Linked DNA regions of Oreochromis niloticus. The protein of the gene in region 1 interacts with the protein of each later gene in a pairwise test. Links are inferred from orthologs where the notes say so. Each region holds a gene or a part of one and is shown in the gene's direction. Other genes may lie near its edges.

Region 1 (15,508 bases):
ATAAAGCGATAGATCTTTCAGCCCAATTCTACTTTTTCTGCATAATCCATCATACAAAATGTAATCAAATGGAAACGTCTCTTTTTAAAACTTTAAACTTTAAATCTTTTAACTTTATGCATCAAGCAAAAACTTAATTATATGCAACATTCTCTGACTGGAAGAAATTTGTTTAACATTTAAACCTATTTTCGGCACATTCCAGCACATAAAATAAAATATTTTTTTGTGTTTACACTCACTCTTTCAAATAGATGAAAGTAAAACACAGCAGAAAATAAATAAAATCAAAGACTAGCGGTCCTGTTGCTCTATTTTCACCTGTAAAGCAGGACTGGGGTAGGCGGAGGTTTAACCTGGTGCAGGTGTGCCGCAGCGGTCAGTGGAAGAATCCGCGAGTTTCTCTGTGAATTTCACATTACGTCGTAGTACACTCGGTGCTTGCTTGGAAGTTTAGGGGTTTTTTCGCTGTAAAAAGAAGTTTTCTTCCCACGCACAACAGACACTAATGTTTTTGTCACTTTTTATGGAATCAAACTCAAAATAAGGTCAGTACTTCCACGCTTTAAATGCTGCATGCTCAAACTCTCTCCCGCACTGTCCATTGTTGATCTGTACACAGCTGTTGTCACGAACGTCGCACTCGCTTACGTCACTGTCATGAGACGTTCTAGCAAAAAAATCACGGTTTTAGTAACGCAGTAACGCAGCGTTCCTACGTGAAAGTAACGGTAATCTAATTACCGTTTTTGCAATGGTAATCCCTTACATTACTCGTTACTTGAAAAAAGTAATCAGATTACAGTGCCCATCTCTGGCTATTAGGTTTATGATCTATCTGAAGAAACTTTGTGCTGCACTTCAAGTCTACACCTTTTGGCCAGTTCTTCTCATTAGTCTTGCTTGTCTTCTTGCTTTTTTTGCAGTTCTTCATATTTCTGTTATATTTCTTCATAAGTCACCATCAAGTGCGGGATCTACCAAGGAGATGCGCTGTCCCCACTACTGTTCTGCAAAGGCCTGAACCCCCTCAGTGATATCATTGAAAAGACTACCTACAGATACCGACTATGGAATGGAGCAGTCGTCAGCCACCTTCTCCACATGGATGACATCAAACTGTATGCCAAGAGTGTGTATGCCAAGAGTGAATGAGACATCGATTTACTGATCCACACCACCAGGATCTACAGCAGTGACATCGAAATGTCTTTTCGGATTGGAGAAGTGTAGTTGGATGGTACCAAAGAGAGGGAAAAACTGAGGGGATTGAACTACCAGAAGGCAACATTGCAGACATTAAGGACAGCTACAAGTACCTGGGAATCCCACAAGCAAATGGGAACAATGAGGAGCCCGCTAGGAAAGCTGCAACCACCAAGTACCTGCAGAGGGTCAGGCAAGTCCTGAGGAGTCCCGGGCTATCAACACCTACGCCCTGCCCATGACCAGGTACCCTGCTGGGTTAATAAACTGGTCAAAGGAGGAAACAGAAACCACTGAAATCAAGACAAGGAAGCTCCAGACCACGCATGGACGGTTTCATCCCAGCACCCTGAGGCTGTATGGTAATCAAACGGAAGGAGGCCGTGGACCAGTGAGTGTCAGTACCACAGTCCAGGATGAGACAACAAACATCCATGTATACATCAGGAAGATGGCCCCAACAGACCGTGTGATCAGTGAATACCTCAGGAGGCAGAAATCCAAGAAAGAGGAGGAAGAGGGGGAACCATCATGGAAGGACAGGCCCCTGCACGGTATGTACCACCGGCAGACAGTGGAAGTGGCTGACATCCAGAAATCCTACCTACTGGCTGGACAGAGCTGGGCTGAGAGACAGCACAGAGGCACTAATCATAGCAGCACAGGAACAAGCTCTGAGCACAAGATCCATAGAGGCTGGGGTCTATCACACCAGGCAAGACCCCAGGTGCAGGCTTTGTAAAGATGCCCCTGAGACAATCCAGCACGCAACAGCAGGGTGCAAGATGCTAGCAGGCAGGGTATACATGGAACGCCATAACCAAGTGGCCGGCATAGAATACAGAAACATCTGTGCCAAGTATGGCTTTGAAGTCCCGAGGTCAAAATGGGAAACGCTCCCTAGGGTGATCGAGAATGACCGACCTAAGATCCTGTGGGACTTCCAGATACAGACGCACAAAATGGTGGTGGCTATCCAACCGGACATAGTAGTGGTGGACAAGCAGAGGAAGATGGCTGTAGTGATAGACATAGCAATACCGAATGACAGCAACATCAGGAAGAATGAACACGAGAAGCTGCAGAAGTACCAAAGGCAAATAACAAAATACAGCCAGGATTAGTTAACATTTTTGGTGCTATTTAGAGAACAAATGTACATAACCAGCACTTTTTTACATCACAGCAATGACCTTGTGTTTACAGAGCAATTTGCACTTTTGTGTAATTGTGTGTTTTGAGTCTTCACACCAGAACTGTGTCATGAATTTACTTCTTCATCGTCTTTCTGCTGTTTTACTTGTGTAAGCCTAGTGTGTGAGCACATTTGTGACATCAAGGCACCAACACTGAAGCTGTTCTTACTGTAACCTGTACCGTTTCCAACAAAGTAGTCTGGAAAATATAGAATTACAAGACAACGTTACTTTTAGTAGTTCACGCAACTAATGAGTCATTAAACTCAGAAGGAGGTCTATAGACAAGTTATTGTGCACATGCCACAAGGACAAGCAGTGTATACTCTTTCACCTGTGGTAAAATGCAAAGCATCAACCTTCATATTTTTACCCCACTCCACTGTTTGAGCCAAAACAAAACATGCTGAAGTCAAAATTAGTCATCTCTGGTCAAAATTTGTTACAAAGGAGAAACATAGGGAAGTGAAGAGTTCAAGATATGTCACAAGTGTTAAATTGGAAAACTATCAGGAAGTAAACTGCGGTGATTAGGAAAAAGAGGAAATAATGAAATGAGGAATTGATTCATGAGAAAATATTGCGTAATTTCGTTTGAGCTGTCCAGTCAGTCATGAACTGCCATCTTTTCGGGAACTACAGAAACTAAAAAAAATTTCAGCAGTGGAAAAGAGAAAAGGAAGGAGGAAATGTTCACATCAGAGAAGCTGTAACTACAGAACATGAAAACATGTTTCTTGCACTTCTATATGGACTGTACCTAATCTGCAGATCTAACTGTTAATTGTCTATTCATTAATCTATCTGTAATTTGGTGTGTAATTGTAGTACACATGTTGTGGAAACATAAATCTGTCTACACTGTCACTGCTGACTAAAATTACTTATTTGTTACTAAAAATAATTCCCCACAACATAAACTGTTATATTTATAATAAGGTTAGTGTAATGTTGTTCAGTGTATATCTTCAGAAATCAGTTAAATTCAATATGTCACCATGTTTACAAGTTAGTCTGCTGGTGATGAATCCCAGGCTCCCTTCTCAGGAAATTCTGACTAATTTTGGGTGAAAAAATAACAACAGTCATGTTATGAAAAGCTTTGATTACAGTCAAAGTCAGTTAAGTCATAGAGGCTGACTCTTATCTAGACTGGCTGATTTGATGTGACTGAAACCCGGCCTAGGATGACCAGTGATTTGAATTCTACAAATGTTACCACACTGAAAAGATTTCCATACCCTCTAAGTTATTAAAAAGTGAAAACAGGATAATAAAATTAAATCTAAAACATAAAATGATTGTATTTGTTAGATTTTTATTTTCTTTTACTTTTGATTGGTTATGCTACAGGGTCTGTGTTCAAAGTATCCAAAACCATGCAGAGCTGCAGGGTCACTGTTTTCGGACTTTGTTTAGATATGAAAGCTCTGGCTCACAGTAAGTTCAAGAAGTCTGTGCTCTCGTGTCTGCCTGGATTCCAGAGTGTTTACACTTTACATGTTCTATACTTTCTGTCACTTCCACTTAATTCTGTCATCATCACTCTGATTCCATTATCTTCTTGCCCACCTTCAGCAAGCCAATTAGTCTCTCTTCCTTATTATTTATTTATTTATTTATTATGTGAACTTAGTGCTAGTCTGTCATTCTGCCATTCTGGCTCTACTCCCCCCCACCACCACCACCACCGCCACCACCAAATACCGAATTTGCCACAATGTCAAAGAATTGCTAAACCTATGGCTGACACATTTATGGCATTGAATACTTTAAAAATCCTAAGCAAAGAATTCAACAGAAGAATCCAATACAAATCAATCAAAGCCAAACTAAAAAGAAGCGAATGTGACAAATTAAAATGTCAAACAGAAACAAACTGAGTTTTTCAGTGCATGAAAGCCTACTTAGTGGCTGATTACTTAATAAAAAGACACAAACACGTGGCATTACAGTAGTTATAGACTTCCGATACTTCTGATTTACCAACTAATTGAATAATATGTCTTAGTGTCTTAGTGACTCAGTCTGTTCTGTATTTTTTTCCACTTTCCACAGAAAAGGTTATTTGCTGCATTAAGTGACTTCATCCTCACTCATACATCATGCCGGTGTTACAAGATACAGCATCCAGAGCAGTATGAAGTTAAGGAATGTTTCTTCATGGTTCAAAGGTTGCTCAGCAGAGGATGATTTAAAGATCTGTGTGAAATGGCACGATGGACGATTGGTCAAAATTAGCCAATGAAAATGTGATATTAACTTTTTATAAAGAAGGAAAACACATTTAGTCTTTTGATTTAAATATATATACATATATATATATATATATGGTGGCTAACCAACCGGACATAGTGGTGGTAGACAAACAGAAGAAGACGGCTGTAGTGATCGATGTAGCGGTTCCGAATGACAGCAATATCAGGAAGAAGGAACACGAGAAGCTGGAGAAATACCAAGGGCTCAGAGAAGAGCTCGAGAGGATGTGGAGGGTGAAGGTAACGGTGGTCCCCGTGGTAATCGGAGCACTAGGTGCGGTGACTCCCAAGCTAGGCGAGTGGCTCCAGCAGATCCCGGGAACAACATCGGAGATCTCTGTCCAGAAGAGCGCAGTCCTGGGAACAGCTAAGATACTGCGCAGGACCCTCAAGCTCCCAGGCCTCTGGTAGAGGACCCGAGCTTGAAGGATAAACCGCCCGCAGGGGCGTGCTGGGTGTTTTGTTTTTTTTTTTATTAAAATTAATTAAAAATAAAAGCTAATTATGCAAGCTTCTAGCTTTGATTGAGGTTGTTTAGAACAAACCTGATGACACGAACTCTTAGAAAACTTATAAATAAACCACCAGACTTTGAGGGCTGTGAGTAAAAAAACAACTCCGAATGAGGCCAAAAACAGATGGAAACCTGTGCAGTTATTAAATTAAACACAACAGTCTTTACTCTCTGTGTTTTACTTTATAAATTGAGTTACTGTGAGCAACACGCATGTATAATTTTGTTGAGGTACGCTGTGTATCACGATTACAGCCTGCTGTCTTTAGCAGTCTCAATATTTTTCTTGCCTGGGTTGGATTTGGATTTCTTCAAAAGATGTGCTCATCACCATTACTGACAGTCTGTTATAATAAGTCGTTTTGGTTGGAATTGCAGGGCTTGTCTGCCTCATTTGTTTCACAGAGCAGCATTAAAAAGATGTGGCGATAGTCAAATTGGCCAGCAGATGTCACTGTGGAGATTGGTTCAGATTGTTTCGAAGCCTCGATACAATTCCTGCACAAACGGTTCAAACTTGTCGCCTCGCTTTGCCCATTATTATTTTCATCAGTTCTTTGGTAAGTAAGAAACAGACAAAACATTAAATGTAAGAAACTGAGGTGTTTGCACCATTAAATAACAATACAATTACTGGCAGTTTTTCACATTTTACCATATTAACTGTTTTTGACTTTGTTCTTTTGACCCACAGTTGAAATAAATTTTATTTTAATAATCAGATTTTTACTTTGAAGCTGAGCTAATGAGCTGCCACTGCTTGTTCTGTTTTTTTATGACATGTGGTCTAATAAATTAGTTAAAAACTGTACATATTGTAATGAAGCACACTGTATTAGATATATTTGTTTATTTTTTATCATCTTTTTTTTCTCTTTGTAGGTCTGGTGACTTTTTGGGGGAGACGGGCAACTTGAACAGTCGTTCCAATAAAGTTTGTTTGAACTGCTATTAAATAGACATTTATCTCCATCTGCTGGTAGGACTGAGTAAATGTACTGTAGAGAAAGGTATAGCCACTTTTAACACATTTGACCATATAACAGCCCAGAATTAAATCACAACAATCACACAGAATTAAGTCAGAATTCAAAAATGTGTTTTAATCATTACCAGTTAATAAAAATATACAAAAGTAGCTGCTGCACAACAAAGTTTCTGTATTGAGAACCAACTTATAGATATTCTGAGTCAAATCTCCAGTTATTTTTCTGTGAAAATACTGAATGTAAACTCATGTAAACACTGGCAAAATACTGTGAGATGAATCCAGCAGGGTTTCAGGATGGCAGGAAGGGATTTGTTACATTTCACAGGCAACACTTTCTATCTGGCTTTTTCCTTAATTTCCTGAACTGCTCTCTTCCGTTTCAGGTTGGTGTAGAGCAATGCAAAGTTGACAATATACGTGGAGACACAGACCATGCAGAAGTCTCCCAGAACAAATGCGAGAATAGATGCAAGATAGAGTGAACCGGCCACAGAAACCCAGGAGGAGAAGACCAAAAAAGCTGCTGCTTTTTTAGACACAGACAGTCCTGTAAAGAAAAAAGTCAAATAGAGAGGATATCAGGACCTCAGTCAAACATAGTACATTATTGGGAAATTTCACACAGTCTCACGTCCAGAGTGGAGTAAATGTATTGCTCCATATACATATTATGCAATCCTCAAATACCTGAAATACTTGTGCTTGCCATGGATCACAAACACATTGGATTGCAAATGATATTCTAAATAAAAAGCTCTCAGCATTGCACTGTAATTTACAGAAGGCAATCAGAGACTAACCAAGGCCCATCTGCAGAGTGTAAAATATGATGCCAAGAACACTGTTGGGCTGGTTTAGAGGACTATCTTTGGCCACAAAGTACTGGACCAAACCAAAACCACGTCCCCATCTGCCAGAAAGAAAGAAGTAACAGTCAGAGCAGCAATTTCTTCAAAATAAAATGAACAATTTTTTTATTTTTTTATTTTTTTATTCCTATGAAATATAATCAGCCTTACAGAGATATGCAATGTGATATAACCATTTAAATGTACACAGAAAGTATCTATGGCCAAAATGCTTACTTTCAGTAACTTCATTACATGTAAATGTTCTATCAAATTTTGTTACATAAGTACAATGTTAAATGTTAGATTTAAGCAAATGAAATTTACTTGAATGGTATACAGAGTTTATAATCAACATATTTTCCTTAATGATTATTTAATTTAATAAATAAACCGTTGATATTATACATTACCGCTGCATTTTACTCAAAATCACTGCTTCATGTTTATGAGGGCAAAGAATCATTTCTTAAGTGTAGAACATCAAGCGTGTAATAAAGATTGATTCTCTTAAAAATGACAAGAAATGTCAAAATAAACGTATATACCTTGTATTCTCACAATGTGAAACAGGAAGCTACTTGATGTAAAGTATTTTCAGATAAATTAAGAACACGTGGCAATTCAGTGTAGGTTAGAAAGGCTAGAAAAAAATATGTTAAAGTATCAGCTGGAAGACAAGGTTAGGATCAGATATGGATCAGTGGTCACCTGAAAACAGATCCAGGTAAGCTGATTCTGCACAAAAAGCGCAGTTATGAGGAAAAACGAAAGGCAGGAGTCATATCATACCTTGAGGTAAAAACTCTGGAGCAGCTTACAGACTCCCCCAGGTCGCACAGCGCTCTGTAATCTGGGTTTCTCTCCCGGGATACCTCGACGTGAAGGGCATAAATAGACAAAACCAAACCGAAAAGGCACAAAAACATGCGTACCTTTCGCTCCCATTTGGGGAACCCCTGAATGGCACCCATGTGGACACTAAAAGATGAATTTATTGCACCAATGTGTTGAAACTGCACGGTCCAGTCTGGTTTTCTTTCAAACGTCACCGTCCTCCTAGTCAAGACGACGTGTTCGTGCTCAGATTGTCGCTTTTGATTGGTCTGTGCGAGTTTTGCGACTGCTTTTCATTGGACGGTGGAGTCCAGATGTTGGCAGATGGGTGTTTGCACTGTATTTTTCTGTGGACTTCAGTCTGTTTGGGCTTTGGGGAATGTTAATAACCGCCCTTGCTGTTCATCTCACGCCACTGGAAGATTCCACTGCTAAACTACTATACCTGAAGGAGTTTGTTTGTTTGTTTGTTTTTACTTAACCAAAAGTGTCTGAATTTTTTCTTAACATATCCACTCGGAAATGCGTCATTAAAATTGAGCTCAACTAGAGGTAACGACTGCTTAATCCTTTAAATAAAGTAACACAACGTGCTTAGTAAGCTGTGAATTATACTATGAGGATAGTTTGGAAGATTTTAATAATATAATTTTCTATGATTAGTAGTTAGTATATTCTCCAGCTTTAGCATTTGTTATCTGACTGATCAGATAATCGCAGGCTTCGGGCTTAGTTGGATATATATTATTATTATATTATATATAAAGTTAGTGTAAAGCACCAACAGGAGCAGGTATCTTTCCCTAAATCTGACTCCTCCTAAAGTAATTGAACTGTGGGGAAAACAGAAAGAACAGAAACAGAAAAAAAAAAACCCCACAAAGATAAATAAATTGAAAAAGCGGAGACTGTCCAGCAATGTGCCGCCTCCCAACGCGTCCTCTGTTCCCATTGGACAAACTACTTGACGTCAGCGCATGTGGTTGGTCCGCATCATGGCACTCAAACCCTACGCGGAACTATACGAGGAAGCGGCAGACAAAAACAAAAGATGGTCGCGCTACTACGGGGTTAAAACATCAATGCTGGTGTTGTGGGTGACTCACAAGGTGAGCGCACATTCCTTTAACAGAAAACACGTGTCAGTGTTTTTCCGTTTTGTTATATAATCGACAAAAATGCCGTTTAACGATTTCTGTGTCTAGAGTGCTCCAGCTTCAGGTAACGTTATTAGCCTACGCCCCTGCGAGTAGTCCTTGTCGTGCGGTTAGTTTATAACTATGTAGTACACAAATTAGTGTGTTCTTACAGACAGCCTCTGCTGGGTTTGGCCTTTAGCTACTCGCATGAAGACTCCAGCTTTATTGTGGAGACGTTAGTAGAGAGCTACAGGTTTGGTTTTGGCCACTTTCACTGCCAGGCCTAGCGGGTGTGGAGTTACTAATCACACCTAGTTTGAGCCCTAGCAGGTCACTCTCACACAGTTTATCAGCGTTTAAAAGTGTGTTTTTATTTGTCAGAAGCAGTAGTTTCTTTTTATTTAAGTTTTTCTCCTAAATCTCAATTGAGCAAAACTTTCGCATGTGGTGGTTCAGTCTCTGTTATTCCTCAGTACCCACATTAACGGAGGCACTCCTGGGATGGCTTCCATGCGCCCAAGTGTTAACAGAAAAGCTTTTATATGGGCATAATTTGAGTTTTCAGTAAAACTGATTTTAATAGTGACAGAAATGCTGCCGCTGGATGGCACTGGTCTTATGGAGTACATAGTGTTGCTGCTACAGATTCCAGCATAACACATGTGGGTCAAACATAAGGCCCGGGGGCTAGAATCGGCCTAGCAGAGACTTTAATCGAAAATGTTAAGGAGAGCATAAATTTTGTATGTTTACATTTATTTTAATAAATGTTACAGCTTTTTCTTGTTGACTCTCCCATGACCACTCATACTAGCCCCAAAATAATTAAGTAATAAATAATAAATAAATTGAAATAAAAGTTTGTTCTTTCAATATCAGCTATAGAAAGCTCTGTTTTACAACAGTGACATTTTCTGTGAAGTAATAGAAACTTTCTTGTTTAGAAATACAGGACAGTCTAGACCAGGGGTCTCAAACTCGTGGCCCGGGGGCCACATCACCCCTACTTGTATTTTGACGTGAAGAAATATAATGCAATTTGGCCCTTGAAGTTACTTTTTTTGTTAGGAAGGATTTGTGTGTTGTCGAGTGGAATGTTAAAAATAAGTTCTTCAAAAAGCAAAAAAATATTTAATATGAAGAAAATATGAGTGCAGGGAGGGATTGGCTGTGTTAGTTCGGTGAGAGTTATTTGTAAAGAAAACAATTTTCACTAGCAGTCACACTTGGTACACTTAGTAGTAGGGCTGTGCGATATGACCAAAATCTCATATCCCGATATAAGACATCTATCGTCCCGATAACAACATACATCACAAAAATGTAACATTTTCTGTAAATTCTGTGAATCTCGGGCAGCTCGACTTGCGTGAAGTGTTTCCAGCTGGGGGTCGTGTACCTGGAGTCGAGTGTTTTAACCGATGCATTAAACGATACATTTTTAGACATAAGTTGTAACGGCCGCCGTTTTCTTTGTGAGTATTTGTTACACATTGTGCTGCGGGGAAAAGCCTGTTCTAACATTTGAGTCCAGGTTTATTTTTTAGCACCTGACGGCTCTTTTTTGCTTCTCATCCGTAAATACTCTGCATACTCTTTCACATGATTCAGTTTATTTTGAAAAGTCTCAACAGGATCTTGAGCTTTATTGTGAAAGGTTTATGTGGAAAATAAACAAGCGGACATGCGATGGTTTTACCGTCGTTGTTGCTAACGACAACGCATAAAAACGGGCGCTTGTCCGTCAGTAATGTGGTTATATTAAATATAAGAGAAAGAGAGAACTTTAAGAAATTAATATAGCCACTACAGTGACCATCAAAACGATAAAAAAATATTGCCGTAAATAGTTTATTTTGCAACACCACGAAACAAACGATAGCGTAAAATGAAACGATAGATGTTTTTATATCGTCATCCGATATATATCGTTATATCGAACAGCCCTACTTGGTAGTTCAGTAAAAGGCTTCAGTTAGTTACGAGTGAGAAAAAATACAATATTTGACATTGTTATACAATATTTGAAATGAAAAAAAAAACAGACAAAACACTACATTTTCTGAAATATTTGTGGGTGCTTTCTTGTTTTTGCTGGTTTGTTATTTTGTACTACTTGAACACTAAATTGGTACTACAGTACCAGATAGATAGATAGATAGATATTTTACTGATCCACCAATTGTGTTAAAGTCGGATAAAGAATACAAATAGTACAGTCAACAATAGAAAAAAAACAAAGTTAAAGTGCCACCAGCGCATATTGAGGGTCTCAAGTGATAAAAAGAAAAGTAAAAATGAAGCTAGTTAAAAAACTGTAAATGTAAGACTGACATTGTATAAGAGACTAGCGCAGATTGCATTAATACATGATATGTAGTTGATGTCATTACTCACTAAAATTACACACTATAAGACTTTAAATCCCAGAAACATTAAGCTAATGTGTGGCTCTTGACTCAGGTCAGAGGATCAAGAGCCTTCTATTTTGCCTCTTTGTTTCATTGTAACGGCCCAAATAATGGTTGATGTTTGCAGGGAAACAAAAATAAGATAAGATAAGATAAGATAAGACTTTATTGATCCCACGACGGGGAAATTTTTGCGTTACCTCAGCTCAGGTACAGATATCAGAAGGAAAATACAAATAAAATACAAACAAATAAAAAATAAGTAAGATAATACACTATATACACTATACACTATATAGCATACACAGTATGTGATTATGGATATGGTTGTGGAAATATGCAAGACATAAACTATATAGCTTAACATAACTATTGTACCACTACTATTCCTATGTATAGACATGTACACACACACATGTACACACTAAATATAAATATGTATACATATACATACATATATACCTGCACACGTCCATACACATAGAAGGTCCATTAAGCATGAAGTGGTGACTGTGGATGTCCACTGTGTCCAGTGACTTATGACATCGTGATTGAGGAGTTACAGAGTCTAACTGCTGTTGGGATGAATGATCTGCGAAATCGCTCCTTCCTGTAGTGAGGGTGTTTCAGTCTCTGACTAAAGGAGCACATATATACATATATACACCACAGTTATTCATTTTTCAATCACAAGCAGCAAATAAGAGCAGTGAATAAATCATATTTGAGAAAATATAGAAGGTTTACATGGCCTGAATTCACAATACACGGATAGTAGAAATGCTGATTTAATTCTAGCTGTTTTATAAAGCTGTAGTCTAATATAATCCCAAGTGGCGCAGTTAAGAACTTTCCAATTCCTCCAACTTTTCTGTTTTTGATTCTTTACAGAAAAATGTCACTTAAGGAGGGCGGAGAGAGTAAAAATGGTCAACCTGTGGCATCCCCTGAAAAAATGGCCACAGACAAAAGCAGAGAAAACCAGAACCCACGGGGAGTCGAGGTACCGGGCAGCAACGCGGACACCAGCACGGCAGCTAAAAACTTGGCTTTGCTTAAAGCACACTCTTTAGATGTGAAGTTTGATGTCGGAGAGGAGTACGACATCATAGAAACCATTGGCACTGGGGCCTATGGTGTTGTTTCCTCTGCCAGGAGGAGGGACAATGGTAATGCTGATTTAGTTTAAAATATATATGTAATTAATTCTGTCTTTAGTACAATGCAGAATAAATGATCAAATGTGGCTCTCCCTTAATTCTGTTCTGCATTTACACTTTGCAGGCCAGCAGGTGGCAATAAAGAAGATATCCAATGCATTTGAAGTGGTGACAAATGCCAAACGCACACTGAGAGAACTGAAGATTCTTAAACACTTCAAACATGACAACATTATCGCTATCAAAGACATCCTGCAGCCAAACCTCCCTCATTCTGCCTTCAAGTCTGTGTGCGTACTTTTCTTTTTTCTAACTTTGGCAAATAACACGTCCACAGATAGATCTGTAGATTTTTAATAAATACAAGAGCTGGAAACATAGTCATCAAATTGGATGTTGTTCTGTTATGCCCAGCCTTCTTCCTGCAGGGAGGAATTCTGGAGTTTTTTCAAAGAGATTATAATCAGAGCTGAGGAATGCATGTCATGCATCCCCTTTACTGTACAAGGGCATGCTTACTGTCCTGCTCCTGCCCCCAACAAAAGGGCCACCTGATCTAGAAAAATACAAATAAAAAATGAAAAAAAAACATGCACAATGTTTTTTGTACATTTAAATAAAACTAAAACAGTTTATAAAATGGCAAAAAACAGTCATTTTTCTGTCCACGTGTAATTATTTGACCAGTTATGTGTAAATCAAAATTGTTGACCTGACATCTTTGTGCACACAACATTTTAATGATTCTTGTTTAGAAGACTAATAAGATTTAGTAAATTTATTTGAAGTCTGTTTCATTGGGTAAGAATGACGTGCCACTGTGCATCATTACTAGTCTCCCGTCTCCCCTGGGCAACAGTGTATAAATAAAAAGTATTTTAATATATTTTGCCAAGTGGGCATGTTTTTCATCTTACTTTTGCTTTTCCTGTGTGTGCAGGTATGTGGTGCTGGATCTCATGGAGAGTGACCTGCACCAGATTATCCATTCTGCCCAGACGCTGACCCCAGAGCACACGCGCTACTTTCTGTACCAGCTCCTTCGTGGCCTTAAGTATGTGCACTCTGCCAACGTCATCCACCGTGACCTCAAACCTTCCAACTTGCTGGTGAACGAAAACTGTGAGCTAAAAATCGGTGACTTCGGCATGGCAAGGGGTCTCAGTTCACACCCTGAGGAGTCTCATTCCTTCATGACTGAATATGTGGCGACTCGATGGTACCGTGCTCCTGAACTCCTGCTGTCTCTGAATCACTATAGCTTGGCCATTGACTTGTGGTCCGTGGGCTGCATCTTTGCTGAGATGTTGGGCCGTAAGCAGCTGTTTCCTGGAAAGCACTATGTACACCAGCTCCAGCTTATTTTGAATGTGTTAGGCACTCCTCCCGAGGGTCTAATTGGTGCTATTAGGGCTGACAGGGTCCGCGCATATGTTCAGAGTCTTCCATCACGATCTCCCATACCTTTGGCCAAACTATATCCACAAGCTGAACCAGAAGCTTTAGACCTGCTGGCGGCCATGCTGCGCTTTGACCCTCGCCAGCGAATAAGCGTGACAGAAGCTCTGGAGCATTCTTACCTGGCTAAATACCATGACCCAGATGACGAGCCAATTTGCGTGCCAGCTTTTGACTTTGAGTTTGATAAGCTTCAGATGAACAAGGAACAAATTAAAGAGGCAATTCTTATAGAGATCCAGGACTTTCACAGAAACAAACAAAGCTCTCGTCAGAGGCTGCAGTTCAGGCCTTTGGTGAGGGTGAAAGGTGGAGCTGCAGCACAAAGCAGTAACCACTGCAGTGCTCAGCCTGCAACTGTCAACCTGAACGAATCATCAGTGGTTCCCTTGGCGCAGCACCCACAAGCAGCACAGCAAATGAGAGAGGTGAAATCTCAGCAGCACCAAGACCACACACCAGCAGAACGGAGCCACGCATTTACAAATCACATGACGACCTTCAGTAAGCCTGCATCCGCTTTAAAAGTCGCCCCACCCCATGTGACCCACAATTTACCTCTCCTCGCTAAAAGTGAAAGTGGCCCGGTTGATGTGGACATGCCAAGTGCCAACTCGGAAAACGGTCAGCCAGAAACTATAGATTTAACAACACCGGTGTCTAGTCAGGACGGTCCATCAGAGACGATGAGAGACAACGAGACACAAGGGCAGCTAGCAAGCAGTCAGGCTCCTCTAGCTCAAAACACCCAGAGCCAGAGCATGGCCCAGCCTGCAAACTCCATTCCTACAAAGCCAGCACAGGCAGTGACAACACTCCCCACCGCTGTGCCTTCCCTCTCTCTCTCTGCAGCACAGGCCCAGTCACTTTCTCAATCCCTTTCACAGTCCCTGTCCAAGAACGCCAGACCTGCTCCATGTGCAGCAGAGGGAACCAGAAAAGAAGGTGCTATTTCAGAAGATACTAAAGCTGCACTTAAAGCAGCTTTATTGAAATCAGCTCTCAGAAATAGAGCCAGGGGTGGTAAGTTGGTTCTTTCCCATAATCTGCTTTTAATCGCTTAAAATTTTAGACCGCCTTCATCTGAATGTAATATTCTCTTTGCAGATGGAAGCACCTCAGCTCTGGGCACCGACACGGGCGCAGGAGGAGGTGCGCCGTCCTCCCTGTCTTCTGTTCCGGAGTCGCGTCGGCCTGTCACAGCCCAGGAGCGTCAACGAGAAAGAGAGGAGAAAAGAAGGAAGAGGCAGGAGCGCGCGCGAGAGAGGGAGAGGAAAATGAGAGAAAAAGAAAAAAGAGAGGGAAAACAAGGGGATTCGCTGGGCGGGGTTCTGCTGACTGACAACGATAAAAGTCTTCTGCAGCGCTGGACAAAGATGATGGACAGCCGCAATGAGAAGTCTCAGCCTTCTAATAACAACGGTGCAAAGAATAAGGACTGCAATGTACAGAGAGGTGTAGTTATGGGTGACAACACTCAAGGAGCACTG
Region 2 (15,833 bases), on another chromosome or scaffold:
CCAAGAGCAGACTTCTTTCCTGAACACAGGCAAAGATTTAAAGAATGCAAGTGTGACCAAGTGGTCGGCGGGGTTATAAAAGAAATAGTAAAATGACAACACCACCAGGGGAATTTCACCCCCAGGAAATGGTAAATGGCCTGTATTTATATAGCGCTTTTCTAGTCCCTAAGGACCCCAAAGCGCTTTACATATCCAGTCATTCACCCATTCACACACTGGTGATGGCAAGCTACGTTGTAGCCACAGCCACCCTGGGGCGCACTGACAGAGGCGAGGCTGCCGGACACTGGCGCCACCGGGCCCTCTGACCACCACCAGTAGGCAACAGGTGAAGTGTCTTGCCCAAGGACACAACGACCGAGACTGTCCGAGCCGAGGCTCGAACCTACAACCTTCCGATTACAAGGCGAACTCCCAACTCTTGAGCCACAATCACCCCACAATCGCAACAGAAATATACATTTATTCCTTTTATCTATTTTTCTTAAAAGAGGCCGCACAGATTCAAGGATGCACACCGAGGCAGGTTGGCTCCAATATTAATATAGTTTTATTTGTAGTTAAATTAAATAAAATATTAGAAAGCAAAATGTAGCGTCGTTGTTGACAGTGTCCTAAAAGTACAATAAAACAATCATGGAACTTGGACTTAACAGCAGCCGCGGACCCAAAAGAAAATCACACAAAAAGAAAATCACTACACCCCCCCGGTGCTGTACAAAGGAAAGTGTGAAAACGACCCACCACCTGAGGTCCCAGGGCCACTGGCACGTCCTCCGTTCACTGAAATATATATATATATATATACATATATATATATATAATCTTTTTTTTAATTATTTATCGCTTTTATAGCCGTGGTCTCTCATCTTGATTACACGAAGTAATTTACTATTACTACTCTAAAATATGGATTACATCTGAAATAATCAAATACATGAAATAGAATGATTAATAGTAACATTTCCCTTTTTTAAGGAAATGACCTGTATGTATCTGTATGAAATCAATAAAAGAATCAAATACTGCATTATCTTTAGTTACATTGATAATATTTATTTATGGTAAAACAGTGGAGAAATATCGCTGTTGCTTTCGTATAAATGAAGCGGACATACCTGAGTGGCCGCGATCTAATCCTGTTTACATAAAGTAAGCCTGCTCCCGAGCAGGTTTACGCTTACGGATCTGTTGCTATGACAGCAAGTCCCAGATGAGCTTCGGAGAACCGAACGATCCAAGATCACGCGAAATCGTCAACAATCAAATCCGGCTAACTTACTTAGCGAGGTACGAAGAACGGACCCCAGAAGGAACAGGAAGTGGAAAACTGATCATCTGCAGAGAAATTGTTTATTTTTTTGCTAAAGCATATAGTTAGGTCTGGATCGGGTGACCCTGAATCCTCCCTCGAAGGCTGCTGGGGGGATTCCCATGATGAACTGGGTGTTTCTTCTTCACTCACTATGTGTTAATAGACCTCTCTGCTGAATCACACTTGTTATTTGTGAAATTTGTGTCTGCAGGTTGATCCCTCCTCTTAATCAGTTGGACTTACTAAGGAACCTCAAGAACAAATCAGGACTCTCATTCAGGTCTGAAAGTTTCCACACAACGACTGCGCCATAACTGCACCAGTGAGCCAAAAACCCTCCTCGAACTAACCTGAGAACACCTGAGAACATTTCAGGAGCTAAAATGCTAACAGACACTTTGCATTTAATAGTTATTATTAATCTCTGTCTCTCTTCCACAGCATGTCTCTATCCTGTCTTCCTTCTCTCACCCCAACCAATCACAGCAGATGGCCCCGCCCCTCCCTGAGCCTGGTTCTGCCGGAGGTTTCTTCCTGTTAAAAGGGAGTTTTTCCTTCCCACTGTCGCCAAAGTGCTTGCTCATAGGGGGTCATATGATTGTTGGGTTTTTCTCTGCAGGGTCTCTACAATATCGGCTTGAGGTGACTGTTGTTGTGATTTGGTGCTACATAAACAAAACTGAATCTTCTAAATTTGTGACACGCCATTTCCTCTCCAGCTTACAAGTTATCTGCTTTAGGCTACGTGTTTGAGAATTATACCATGGAGTCAGGTACATCTGATTTGAGGCCTTAGTTTTCACCGGAGCTACAGTATCCAGAGTCGTACGTAGTGAGGAGGTAAAATTATTAACCAGATGATCGACCTCTGTTGGCGTAGCGTTCAGGTAGCTGCTCTGCTCTGTGTTGGTACAGGGCATTGAAGACGATAACAGTGGGCGGATTATATCCTTAACCCTCTGCGTCGCATCTATAACTGCCAGTCTTTGACTACTTTGATTTCACTTTGACTGTTTTTCCTTGCCTTGCTCTCATTCTTTTCAGCACAACCTCACGTTTCATTTTATAGTTATTTTTTCATTTGGACATAAAGTATAAATACAATTGACCTAAAAAGTAAATAAATAAAACCCAAGTGGGAAGAGTTGGACTTTTTCTATGAAAACATATTTAATGAATCATTTTCATAACTGGAACGCAAATATAAATTATAAACTGGTAAACTCAGTATGAACAGGAGCTTTTTTTTTTTGGCAAATATTTTTATTAATAAAAAGAAAACAACACAGTACTTGCACTTACCGAAATACAATTAACCTTTCTTCATTTTCCTAACTAAATATACTTATATATGAAAAAAACTGAACCGGAGCTTTAAGCTTTGAGGTAATCAGGTCACTGCACAGCAGGTTTGTGATGTAGATGAAGAAAAAGCTGTTTTTGTAAGGGTGATAATGATCAGAGTATTTCTTCTCTCTATTATTGTTTGCAAACAAATAATTTGTGCTAAGTTCTGTCTAATGATCTGTTAAAACAAACACAGGAAAATGTTGACCAGCACTTTAAACTTCAATCAGCTGCAAGCAGCCACCGCCTGAGCTACAGGTATGTCACACACACTCATCAGGATATGGCATCACAGGCTTTATTTAAAAAAAACAGAAGACAAACAGAGGACAGGTAACTGGAAGTGACATCACGATGGGGCGGGGTCACTCTATGCCTTCCTGTTTGTCTTTGATGGCGACTCTGAAGCGTTCCTCCAGCAGTGACAGCTCGCTGATCAGGTCAGTGATAGCGTTCGTGAACGCTTCCTGTCAGGAACAACATCATTTCCTGTCATTTAATTTCACTTCCTGTAACTAAGAGCTGTAATCAGAAGTGTGTTCCAGGAAACAGGTTTAGTTTAACCCTGAGATGAGGGAAACTTGGGTTTTCTGTTCCAGAAGGTCAGTTACCATGGTAACACTCTTATTATAATCAATCACTCTGATGGATAAATGGATCTTATTTGAGTGACGTTCAGGCTGAGATGGCTTTAAAACTAAAGCTGAACTAAATGTGTTTAAAGTCACTGCAGACAGTCTGATTGTAATCTGATTACATTTCACATTGAAATGTAATCAGATTGAGGTTCGGTCATTTAAAGTCAAACAGCCTGGGCAGATTTTCCACTGAACATCACCTGAATCAGCCTCTGCGGGTCGACCCAGAACCAGATCAGCCAGAACATGGGCTCCATGACGGATCAGCAAACCGAGTCCACTTGCACGGCAGGACGGATCCAAAATGGATTTTCGATCACGGATTCAGATCGGCTCAATCCCAGATCCAGGTCTGCTCGGTCATTTCCCAGCTGATCCCGTCTGGATCCGTTTGCAGCTCTGCTCTGATCTCTATTCCTGATTTAAAATGTGTCATTCTTCCAAAACTATCCTGAAATATCCTGATCCTGTAGAAGCTGAGACGTCTGTAATAGGTACGCATGCACATAACTCAGTGGGAACACACTCAGAGCTGAATGAACTAACTGATCACCCTTCTGGAACAGGAAACTCAGAGTCTGATGAACATACTTCCTGGAATATCCCACAGGTGTGTGCGTGTTACCTGTGGGCTGTAGTCAGGTGTGGTCTGCACTCTGATGACGATCTTGTGCTCCAGAGGATGAGGAACTTTATAACCAGCAAACAGAACCTGAGGGTCCTTCAGCAGCTGACTGACCACACACACACACAGAGAAAGTCATTTGATTGGTGGACAGACTGTAAGGATGAGCAGTTTAGTGTGAATGGTGTGTGTGCAGCTCACATGACAGTCTGACGGAAGAATATTTGAGGATCAGTTCATTAACTTTGCTGATTTTATGATCAGGCACTGGGACAGCCACCTGTGGTGGCTTACACTAAGACCTGTTTCCCATCAGCAGCATGTCATGATTTATTAAAAAACAAAAAGCAAGTAGAGATCAAATATTCCAAGACTATGTTCTGGTTTTCTGTAAAACACCTCCTACGCTACCTGTAAGATTGAAACACCTGCAGGCTGCGTGTTAGCATCTATCTCTGAGCCGCTGCTCAGCATTTGTGTGGCTGTTAGCCTCAACTTAGCCAGCTGTGAAGCCGGGTCTGGGACCCTTACGCTCGGATGACTTTAGCGGGCTGTTGTTAGCCTGAGGTTAGCCTGTTGTTAGCCTGGATGTAGCGGTGTGATGCCTTTGCGGCCGTGTCTCGGGGCCTTACGCTCGGATGATGTTGCCCAGCGTGTGGTCCTCCTTGTTCAGGGTGAACAGGCAGGCGTTCGGGACTTTGGTGTCCTTGCTGATGCTGATCTTTTTCTCCCCTTCGAACAGCAGGAACGACTCGAAAGCGGGAGGCGCGTTCATCTTACCTGTTCACTGCTGCTGCGGCTGCTTCTTCTTCTTCTTCTTCTGTATAGGGTTTATTGGCGGTTGGCAAACAACTGAATGGTGCATTACCGCCTCCAACTGGTGTGGAGTGGGGACTGGAACGTCGCTCAAAAAACCCCCCAAACCCCTCAAATGCTCCCAAGCAATTTACTCTCTTTTAAAAACTGGGATAAGGCCTGATAACTTTCACTTCTCGAGTCCTTTTGCAGAAAATCAATAAGAACTAGTTTCATTTTCATATTGCTGAGGTTTTGGGTCAGTTGTCTTCTCTCCACCTGATACTTCTGACAGTCTAATATAACATGTTCTATCGTTTCCTCTTCTCCACAGTCGTCACAATTCCCTGTATTATGTTTCCCTATCATGACTAGTGTAGTGTTCAAACCAGTATGTTCTAATCTTATTCTCGATATGGCCACCTCCTCTTTCCTACTCCTTTCTGTGCTCCTCATTTCTCCTACCCTCCTTTGGATTTTATCCAACCACCGTCCCCTCTTTTCCTCCTCCCACTGTTTTTGCCATCTTTTTTTTGTTTCTTGCCTTACCATACTCTTTACCTCTGTCTGACAGAAGCTAATACCCAGGTCAACTACCCCATGTTTTGTGGCTTCCTTTGCAGCTCTATCTGCCATTTCATTTGCTCTGACTTCACAGTGAGCTGGAATCCATAAAAACACACCTGTAAGTCTCGTCATGTGTATTCTGTGAAGTGTTGCTGAATCTCTGCTAGGACATGTGCTCTGCTTTCTGAGCAGCTACTCTGTAAACTGACCAATGACGAGCCTGAGTCTGAACAAATAACTGCTTTTAACGGTTTCATGTCTTCTGCCCATTGAACAGCTAACAGTATTCAAGAGCAGCCTGTGAGGTCCTGCACACTGTAACCAGCAGACTCCAAACACAGCACCCTCAGGCCCTTTTCCTGATCTGTGGGGACTTTAATCACATCTCCCTGTCCTCCACTCTCCCCACCTTCATCCAGTATGTTACCTGCCATACCAGAGACAATAAAACATTGGACTTATTGTATGCCAACACCAAGGAGGCATACAACTCATCACCTCTCCCTCCCCTGGGGGGCTCAGATCACAACCTGGTTCATCTCCAGCCTGCGTATAAACCTCTAGTACAAAGAGAACCAGTTGTGAAACGCACAGTAAGGAAATGGTCGGCAGAGACTGAAGAGGCCCTGAGGGACTGTTTCCGTTCTACTGTGTGGGACAACCTCTGCAGCCCCCTGGAGGATGACCTCAACAGCATCACAGACTGCATTACGGATTACATGAACTTCTGTGTGGACAACACCGTACCCATCATAAAGGTACAGTGTTTTTCAAAAAACAAGCCATGGATAAATCCTGAAATTAAGGCTCTCCTCAAGGAGAAGAAGAGAGTCTTTAGATCTGGAGACAAACAGGAGCTGAGAGTTGTCCAGAAGAAGCTGAAATGGAAGATAAGGCAAGGAAAGGAAAACTACAGGAGGAAGATGGAAGAGCAGCTGCAACAGGACAACATCAGAGGGGTTTGGAACAGCCTGAAGACAATCTCAGGACAAAAACCAACCCCCCAGGCTGCAGGAGACTTGGGGTGGGTGAATGACCTAAATCAGCGGTCCCCAACCTTTTTTGCGCCACGGACCGGTTTATGCCCGACAATATTTTCACGGACCGGCCTTTAAGGTGTCACGGATAAATACAACAAAATAAAACTAGTACCGGTACCGAAAAAAAGATTTATTCATAACACACATGAAAAGACCCAGGAAAACCGAGTTAACAATAAAAACGATAACAGAATAACGCTGAAAACCGATAAAAACCCTGAAAACCATACATTTCACACCTGAGCCTCAACTCTCGTGGCCCGGTACCGGTCCGAGGCCCGGGGGTTGGGGACCGCTGACCTAAATAAATATTTTAATAGGTTTGATCAACCACCCACCCCTCCCCCAGCATCGTCCCCCCTGCTGCAATCTCCCTCATCTTCAGGGACTGCCTGTCCTTCATCTCAGAGCTTCACACCTCTCAGCTTCACACCTCCCAGCTCCCAGTCATTACACCCACCCCCGGCTTCTGTGGACTCCAACATACACCCCCTCCCCAAAATCCACTCTTTCTATCTCAGCACTTCAAGTGAGGAACGAGCTTCGCAAGATCAAGGTGCGGAAGGCTGCAGGTCCAGATGGCATCAGCTCCAGGCTCCTGAGGTGCTGCGCAGATGAACTGTGTGGCATCCTAGGATATCTGTTCAACCTGAATCTGTCACTGGGGAAAGTACCACAGCTGTGGAAGACATCTTGTGTGGTACCGGTACCAAAGACCTCCCATCCCAAGGACCTCAGCAGCTACAGGCCGGTAGCCCTGACATCGCATCTGATGAAGGCCCTCGAGAGGTTGGTTCTGAACCATCTGCGCCCCCTGGTGAGGTCTTCATTGGATCCACTGCAGTTTGCTTACCAGCCTGGCATCGGGGTGGAGGACGCCATCATCTACCTCCCTCACCGAGCTCTGACTCACCTGGAGAAGCCTGGAAGCACTGTGAGGATCATGTTCTTTGATTTCTCCAGTGCTTTCAACACCATCCAGCCACGACTTCTGAGGGACAAGCTGGAGCTTTCGGGAGTGGACCACCACATGTCCCAGTGGATACTGGACTACCTCACAGAACGTCCACAGTATGTGAGGTCACAGGTCTGTGTCTCTGACACGCTGGTCAGCAGTACGGGGGCCCCACAGGGGAGTCCAAGGAGCGCTTCTTTTAAAGACCTTCTATGACTCTGTGGTGGCATCTGTCATTTTTTACAGTGTTGTATGTTGGAGCAACAGTTTATCGGCAGCTGAGAGGAAGAGGTTGGATAAACTCATCAGGAAGGCCAACTCTGTTCTGGGATGCACCCTGGACTCAGTGCAGGTGGTGGGAGACAGAAGGACTCTGGCCAAAATAACATCTCTGATGCACAGAGTCTCCCACCCCATGCATGTAAATGCTGCTGAACTGCAGAGCTCCTTCACTGACAGACTGCTGCATCCTCGATGCATGAAGGAGTGTTTCCGCAGGTCCCTCCTCCCTGCAGCTGTCAGACTGTACAACCAAAACTGCTCCCAACAAACATAGAGGTTTACATCAGCGCTGTAACTTGCACTATTTTATCAGCCGATTTACACTATAACCAGGGTTTGCCTCTTATCTGTATTTCATTTTATTTAATTTAATAACGGTACAGTACTCTGTTTTTGGTAACCATTGTCGTTGATGTAAATATGTAAAAATTGTGTATGTTTCTGTTCTGTGTCTTGTGTACTGTTTGTTTGTATATGTGTCCTTCTTGCTGCTTTCTTTCCAAGCTCCTTAGACTATGACCTGGATGACTGAGAACCTTCACAGACAATGAAAATAAAAAGAAAACATTAAATGTAGTGTATGTGTTAAAAAATGAAATACATCATTCAAAAAGATGTAGAATTGTTTCACTGACTGTTTTACAGTTTTACAGTACAAGATTCATCCAGATCATTTCTATAGTTTTAATAAATTGGTTTGTTATTCGACGTTGTTGGTGATTAAATACTTCTTATTGTAAGTCCATATCAATGACTCATTAATATTCATAAAGTTACTGTTCCAGTAAAACTCACAGTGAGGAGTTATAGGACAATGAATCATATATGTTTTATCCAGTATATTAATGGCATCTCTGAGAACATCTTTATTCAGTGCTGTCTGTATATTTGGTCCATTTGTGTCATCATGAAACACTGTACTGTGTTCGCTCACAGATATGGGAACATCACAGGTCCTCACAACACAGGATATGGAAGAAAATTACCTTTTTCCTTCACTAGCTGGGACACATCATTAATATTATTTTTCTATTTCTCATATAATATTGATTTATTTCTGTTTTCCCACACAAAAGAATAAAGTGCAGCATCGACTGTTTTACGAATGATTTAGGAACATTTTTACTTTTGCAGGATGCACTGAGTGAGACAATCCCTGTTTAAGATAAAAGGATCAGTGAACGATGGCTCATGAGCCACAGATCAAATCTGTTTTTCATTTTTGGATTTATATGCTGAAAATTAGAAATGACCCTCTCAGATTGATCTCGACAGATGTTAGTTCCCAAATAAGTCATCTGTTCTTTGACAGGAAAACCTTCTTTATGGACACGAGCCTCTCCGACAGGAACAGGACACATTTTCATGTTTAAAGTCAGACCTGATACTCCAGAGAAAGCATTAATGCAGTTTATCATCTTTGTTTTGAACTCATCTTTAATGAAGACAGCTGTATCACCTGCGAGCTGACAGCATTTCATTTCCTGGTGGAAACTCTCCGAGTGGTTCCCACCAAAGTTTAACTGAACTATTACATCATTCTCACTGTGGATCTGTGCTCTCAGCGCCTCCCCATGACATCATCTGATAGTCACCTTTCACTAATATAATAATAAGTTATTCTGAAACAGAGCTGTAATCATACACAGAAGGTAAAACGTTTATTTACAGGCATATTTATTATGACAGGTAAGTGAATACACAAATGTATATTTATGTAATTTTATTTGTTTACTAAAACCGATTTCTGACTTGTTGGGCTCTGTTATGACGTCAGAATTAAATGACGTTTGGATCATTTCGTCGTTCACGCTGCCTAATCACAACGCACCTCCTTTTACTTGGCAGGCCTGTCATTGGCCAGCCAAAGCTGGTTTGTTTTTAAAGGTCGGGCGCTGATTGGCCGACTGTGTAAGAAACAGTCGGTTTAAATCGGGGGGCGGGAGCATGTTCCGTTTGAATCCAACAGACAGTAGCGATACTCTGACCGACAAACCCCGACCGACAACCGGTGAGTCCGTACTGGGAAAAGTTTTTGTTTGTTTATAGTCTCCCCTGGGTAATAAACAGGCTAGCCACAGAGCTAACGCTTAGCCGACCGGTAGAGCTAACAGTTAGCACCGTTAGCACGAAGTCGTCACAGTGAAGGTGAGCCTCGTCTGTTACTGGAGCGAGGTCTGAGTAAAACACCCGAACGGTGGCCTGAGAGGCGGATACAGCTGGAGAAGAGTCCTCGGAGCTGTATCCGGTGCCAGCGTTTAGCTGCTGTTAGCTTAGAGAGAGAAACACGGGAGGTGATCCGCAGAGGAACCCGGGCCTTCTAACCTCAGTTTGTCTGATTCAGCAGAACCGGACGGTAACGCACATGGCCTCCCAGAACATGGACCCCGCAGCGGCTGCAGCTTCCAGCGCCGCCGCTCTGAAAGGCAGCGAGAGCGGCGGCAGCGCGGCCAGAGGCTCTGTGTCCAAACGGTGGGTGTGTGTGTGTGTGTGTGTGTGTGTGTGTGTGTGTGTGTGTGTGTGTGTGTGTGTGTGAGAGAGGGAGAGAGACTTTTCCTACTGTGTGTTTTCATATTGGGTGTTTGTGTCAGCTCTCAGTGCCAATTTCTGACTCTACGTGTCGTACAGGTGTTAGCAGGTACACTTCCTGTTCACGGTTGATTACCAGCAGCCTTACTAATAAAGTTTAAACAATGGTTTGGTTTCAATGTGCTGTGCCGCCGTTCTATTAGACCAGTGGCCCTGTCCCACTAGTACAGGTGTTCTGGGAATCCATCCGACCTGACAAACCATCCTACCCATTGTTTCTGCGCATGCGCACAACACGAAATTAAGTGGCGAACCGTCCTACCCTTTATGAATATTAGCTAGAAATATACTCTGACGGGTAAAGATATCATCCTACCTTTGTGAATGTGACCTACAAGCATACTTTAACAGCTAAAATTTAGTGGCAAATCATCCTACCTTTGTTAATAAGAGCTAGAAAAATACTCTGACGGCTAAAATGAAGTGCCAAACCATGCTACCTTTGTGAATGTGACCTACAAGCATACTTTAACGGGTAAAATTAAGTGGCTAACCGTCCTGGCTTTATGAATATGAGCTACAAGCATACTCTGATGGGCAAAGTTAAGTGGCAAACCATCATACCTACTTAAATTTGTGCTGGAATTACTCTATGACAGCAGAAATGTCCATAAACTACTTACGGTAGGACGTTTTGCCAAAGTAGGATGGTTTGTCAGAACAGGTTTTTGTTTTTTGTTTTGTAGTATGTGCTATCCTAAAATGTGACATCAACGGACTGGATGCCACCCATTGGCTAGTCAGTAGCGTCGAATGATGAGTCATGAAGGCGTGTCATTCACGAAAATCAAAGCCACCATATTTAAAACCCGGCAACGGGGGAAACCAACAACCCCAGAAACCGAAAACTACTAGAGTCGAGCTGAGTAGATACCTGTGTGAAAGGGCTAAAAGTGACGCTGTTCAGCAGGTGATGGGTGGGGGCCAGCTCCTACAGGTGTGGAGTGACAGGCAAACGTAGTATCATAATTGCCTCAGTCTGAGTCAGACAGGTGGGCAGGTTTACCTGATCCTCTCTGCACAGCACCTGTCTGAGCTGCAGTTTCATGAAGCGCTGAGGTGAGTTCAGGAGGAAACACCTGAACAACAAAGGAGGCAGGCTCCTCCTTAGTCTGAGCCAACAGTGAAACACTGAACTGAGCATGTACAGCAGATTCTGAGCTTCCTGTTTGTGTGTCTGCAGGCTGCAGCAGGAGCTGATGACGCTCATGGTGAGTCCAGTCTTCATCCTCATCAGTGTTCTGTTCTAACCTGTAACACCTGAGGTCATCTGACACCCCCATGTGTCCTGAAGTCATGTGACCAGTCTCTCTCTCTCTGGTGCAGATGTCAGGTGATAAGGGGATCTCGGCGTTCCCAGAGTCAGATAATCTGTTTAAGTGGGTTGGAACCATCGATGGCGCTCAGGGGACGGTATGTACACACGGATCATTTGGGTTTCTCTACTCTCAGCAGAAAGTTAAACTCTGCTCTCTTACCTGTTCAGGTGTACGAGGGCCTCAGGTACCGCCTCTCTCTGGAGTTTCCTGCCGGTTACCCGTACCAGGCCCCACGCGTAAAGTTTGTCACGCCATGTTTCCACCCCAATGTAGACGAGCACGGCTTCATCTGCCTCGACATCCTGAAGGACAAATGGTCGGCACTCTACGACGTTCGCTCCATCCTGCTGTCCATCCAGAGCCTCCTGGGAGGTAAATGCGTCATCACCCCAGCACTGTCCAAGCTCTGCACTCTGACCTATGACCTCACTGTCACTCTGCTTCCTCCTCAGAGCCTAACAACGACAGTCCTCTTAACGCTGTGGCGGCCGAACTGTGGGACAACCAGGAAGGTGAGACCACGTAAACACCGCGCTGTGTTCAAACACGTTAACAGCTGCGTGCAGCAGGACTGATGGAGGTTGTTTGTTTTTCTTTTTTCTTTCAGCCTTCAGAACTCATCTACACTCAACCTTCCAGAAGTGAATCTCCGCCGCCTCATGTTCGTCTGTCTTCTGTGTTTGTATCATATTTTTATGTTTGTCAATAAAGTTCTTAATTCAACACAGTGTGTTATTTATCGGAGTGGCTGAAACAGGCTGTCCTCCCTGACACACCGCATGCAGGCTGGACTTCTCTTTTTAATATTCAGCTGCTTTTACTTTGAAAGAGTAGGAGGAAAAGGAGGAGCCTTGGGTGGGTGGGGTTTTTTGCTGCTGCATCATGACATCAGAGCGGTTTGTCAATATTGAAGTACACTTTGTAGTAGTGATGGGGAGATGAAGCCTCGTGATGAACTGAAGCTTTCCATCTAAGTAGTTGACTCATGGTTCGAAGCATTGTCATGATTCATTTGCTCTACTGCACCATCAAGTGGACGATTCAACTGAAACAGGTTGAGTGATTATAATGTGATTTGTAAACCGCTAAACTGAATAAATTGTTTTTATGGTTATTTATCCTGAATATTGTCTCAGTATGTCTGATACAAAAGAGAAAGTGGAAACTATCAGGACAGTTTGTGGGATGATTTTGTAATCATGCTTGTGTACATCTGGATAATGACACAAACTAGTGTGTGGTGCTTCAAGTTGAATAAAGAAGTTACTGTTGTTCATGACACCAATAACTAAACTATAAATATTAGTTATATTTAATATATTAATGTTTGTGTATAATACATTGGCAGCTTAACACAGGAATGTACATGGAAACAAAAAGGGAGGGAGTTGTGATGTGAATGTGCTTGTGACTTTATAACAGTGCTTATGACACTAGGGAGAAGTTCTCATTTGTTTTTATTCAAAAATGGCAGCTTTTCCACAGTGCTGGGCTTAAGACGGTTCCTCTTTTTTGAGAGGATTTCTCCTGCTTTTGAAAATACCCTTTCACGGGGCACAGATGAAGCAGGGGTTGCAAGAAAAACCACAGCAAGTTTATACAAGTTTGGATAAACAAATCTGTGTCCAACCCAGTACTCCAGCGGATTCTCCAGTCTGCCGATGTTTGGTTCATGGAGGTATTTCTGCACTTCAGCTGTTGCATCAGCAGTAGCATTTGGGGTCTTTGTCTCCATAACAGTGGTGTCCAAACGATGCCACAGTTTGCTACCTAAAACAAACAGAATGTAAGTAACTAAATACAATATAATAATCAAAATGTGCTCATATACCTTGAGTCACAGGCTGAGAAGCTTTTGATGATGAAGCTGCTGCTGATGAGGGAGCCAAGTGCCGCAAAATAGCAGCACATTCAAAAATAAGTCTCTTCTCACCATCCAGTGCTTTATTTGAGCTAAAGAAGACTTTTTTTTTTTTAACCTTGGATCCAGCAATGTTGCCAGTGACATGATGCTCATTGACTGCAATGTGTAGAGCTTCTCCTTTAATTGTCTCCTTAGACACTCAACCATGGTGGAGCTCTCTGGAGTTAGGACAACTCCCATTTCCTCTTCATTTAGTGCATGGTGCAACATTGTTAGAAGTGGAATTACTTTGGATCCAGGCACTCGCTTTTCCTCTGACAGCTCAGTGGTGGCATCATTAAATGGGGAGAGCATTTTGAGACATTCTGCCATAAGCTCATACAGTTCAGAGGATAGTGGGCAAATATCAGTGTGCAGGCCAGCTAACGATGCTCCAATAGGTTCCCTGAGTTCATGAACACGTTGAAGCACTTGGAATGTGCTGTTCCAATGTGTATCCACCTCTTGAATTAACTTCAGTGCAGGCCGGCCCATTTGCTCCTGCACCTCTGTCTGCCTCTCCTAAGAAAACAGCCAACACAAACTGATTAATTGTGTGGATGCCTCAAGGCATCCACACTATTGTTTTCCTGTTTCTCTTTATTCTTTATCTTTATTCTCCTAGTTGCTCCGTTCTTTGCCGATTAACTACTCCCTCAGTTTTCAGCCGATTTTCTCCGTTCAAACTCTAAAAAATTCTGCTTTTTCTGCTAATGTGTGCTATGACTTTTGGTGCTCATAACTTCTATACTTTTTGAGATATTGAATATTTTTTGCAATATTTTTGCCCATTGAAATGAATGGAACACATTATCAATGTGGTCACTTATTTCTGCTCGCCAGGCTGAGCTGTGTTTTAGCTCAGTGAGATGAGCAGCCGTTCTAAGACTGGGAGGCCCGGGTTCAAATCCCACTTATGGCAACAATTTATTCAGTTCACAGTTAAACTTTTTTTTTAACTGTTTTCAACACAAATGTGAGCATCTTCACCCCCTTTCAGCAAAATTTTCAGTTTTTCTGCTGTTTTCAGAACAAAAACCCTCTTTTCAGCAGAAATTCTGCTCATTCACCTCTTTTCAGCACAGTGTTCTGCTTCTTTCCGTCTTTTCTGCAGAAATACTGCTCATTCTTCACCCCATTCTTCAGCAGAATTGTGAGTTTTTTCACCCCTTTTCAGCACAAATCCCATCTTTTTCAGGTGATTTCAGCAGAAACCTCTTTTCAGCAGAAATTCTGCTGATTCACCTCTTTTCTGCAAAATTTTCAGCCTTTTCTCCTCTTATCAGCACAATTCTCAGCAGCTTCTGCTCATTTTAGCAGAATTGTCCATCTCTCCACCTCTTCTTTTTGAGAGTGACTTTGGGTCAGTGAGATGACTAGCTTCCTTGAGACTAGGAGGGCCAGGTTCGAATCCTGCTCATGGCAACATTTTCTTTTTCACCACCGTATAACTTTTTGCAACTTTTCATCTTTTGCAGCTTTTCAGCAGACAGCTTCAGCGTTCAGGCATCCACACAGCATTTTCGCCTGCTATGACTTTTGGTGCTCATAACTTCTATACTTTTTGAGATATTGAATTGTTTTTGCAATATTTTTTGCCCATTTCTGCCATATCATCAGTGGCGTCACTGATTTTCCTTGCCGGGATGACCTGTGTTTTAGCTCAGTGAGATGAGCATCCGTTCTCAGACTGGGAGGCTTTGTTCAAATCCCTCTTATGGCAACATTTCTTTCAGTTAACAGTTAAACTTTTTTAACTCAATTTCAGCTTTTTCACCCCTTTTCAGCACAATTTTCAGTTTTTTCACCACTTTTCAGCACAAATCCCAGCTTTTTCAGCTATTTTCAGCAAAAACATCTTTTCAGCAGAATTCTGAAAAGAGTTCTGCAGAACTCTTTTCAGCAGAAATTCTGCTGATTGAACTCTTTTCAGCAGAATTTTCACCTCTTTTCAGCCCAAATTCTGCTTATTCACCTCTTCTGCAAAATTTTCAGCCTTTTCACCTCTTATTAGCAGAAGTCCCAGCTGTTTTCAGGAAAAACTCTTTTGAGCAGAAATTCTGCTGATTCATCTCTTTTCAGCGCATCTTTCTGCTTCTTTGCCTCTTTTCAGCATAAATTCTGCTGATTCACCTCTTTTCTGGAAAATTTTCAGCCTTTTCTCCTCTTATCAGCACAATTCTCAGCAGCTTCTGCTCATTTCAGCAGAGTTGTCCGTCTCTCCACCTCTTCTTGGTCAGAGTGAGGTTAGCTCAGTGAGATGAGTAGCTGCCTTGAGACCAGGAGGGCCAGGTTCGAATCCTGCTCAGGGCAATGCTTTTTTTTTCACCACCATACAACTTTTTGCAAGTTTTCATCTTTTTCAGCTATTTTCAGCAGACAGCTTCAGCGTTAAGGCATCCACACAGCATTTTCGCAGGAAATGCAAATTTTTCTAATTGTGTGGATGCCCTAA

The links.
Region 2: the proteins of mapk7 (region 1) and ube2c interact in binary tests that used the Homo sapiens proteins (3 or more experiments, as listed by UniProt). The two-hybrid records come from large-scale screens. The link is inferred for Oreochromis niloticus from reciprocal best matches to the Homo sapiens genes MAPK7 and UBE2C.

What each region holds. Positions count from the first base shown.
Region 1 is NC_031973.2:17,614,727-17,630,234, forward strand, and holds the start of mapk7 (mitogen-activated protein kinase 7), read left to right. Parts: upstream 1-8,241; 5' UTR 8,242-8,402; intron 8,403-8,827; exon of another isoform or gene 8,828-8,959; intron 8,960-12,291; 5' UTR 12,292-12,295; coding exon 12,296-12,569; intron 12,570-12,684; coding exon 12,685-12,850; intron 12,851-13,500; coding exon 13,501-15,041; intron 15,042-15,125; coding exon 15,126-15,508. Other genes in the region: vkorc1 (vitamin K epoxide reductase complex subunit 1), read right to left, coding at 6,501-6,712, 6,966-7,075, 7,806-7,987. UniProt on the Homo sapiens protein: Plays a role in various cellular processes such as proliferation, differentiation and cell survival. The upstream activator of MAPK7 is the MAPK kinase MAP2K5.
Region 2 is NC_031970.2:1,166,696-1,182,528, reverse strand, and holds ube2c (ubiquitin-conjugating enzyme E2 C), read left to right. Parts: upstream 1-9,426; 5' UTR 9,427-9,578; intron 9,579-9,911; exon of another isoform or gene 9,912-9,914; 5' UTR 9,915-9,932; coding exon 9,933-10,039; intron 10,040-11,339; coding exon 11,340-11,367; intron 11,368-11,482; coding exon 11,483-11,569; intron 11,570-11,642; coding exon 11,643-11,847; intron 11,848-11,927; coding exon 11,928-11,987; intron 11,988-12,082; coding exon 12,083-12,120; 3' UTR 12,121-12,198; downstream 12,199-15,833. Other genes in the region: polr2j (DNA-directed RNA polymerase II subunit RPB11-a), read right to left, coding at 3,031-3,132, 3,929-4,037, 4,561-4,703. UniProt on the Homo sapiens protein: Accepts ubiquitin from the E1 complex and catalyzes its covalent attachment to other proteins. In vitro catalyzes 'Lys-11'- and 'Lys-48'-linked polyubiquitination.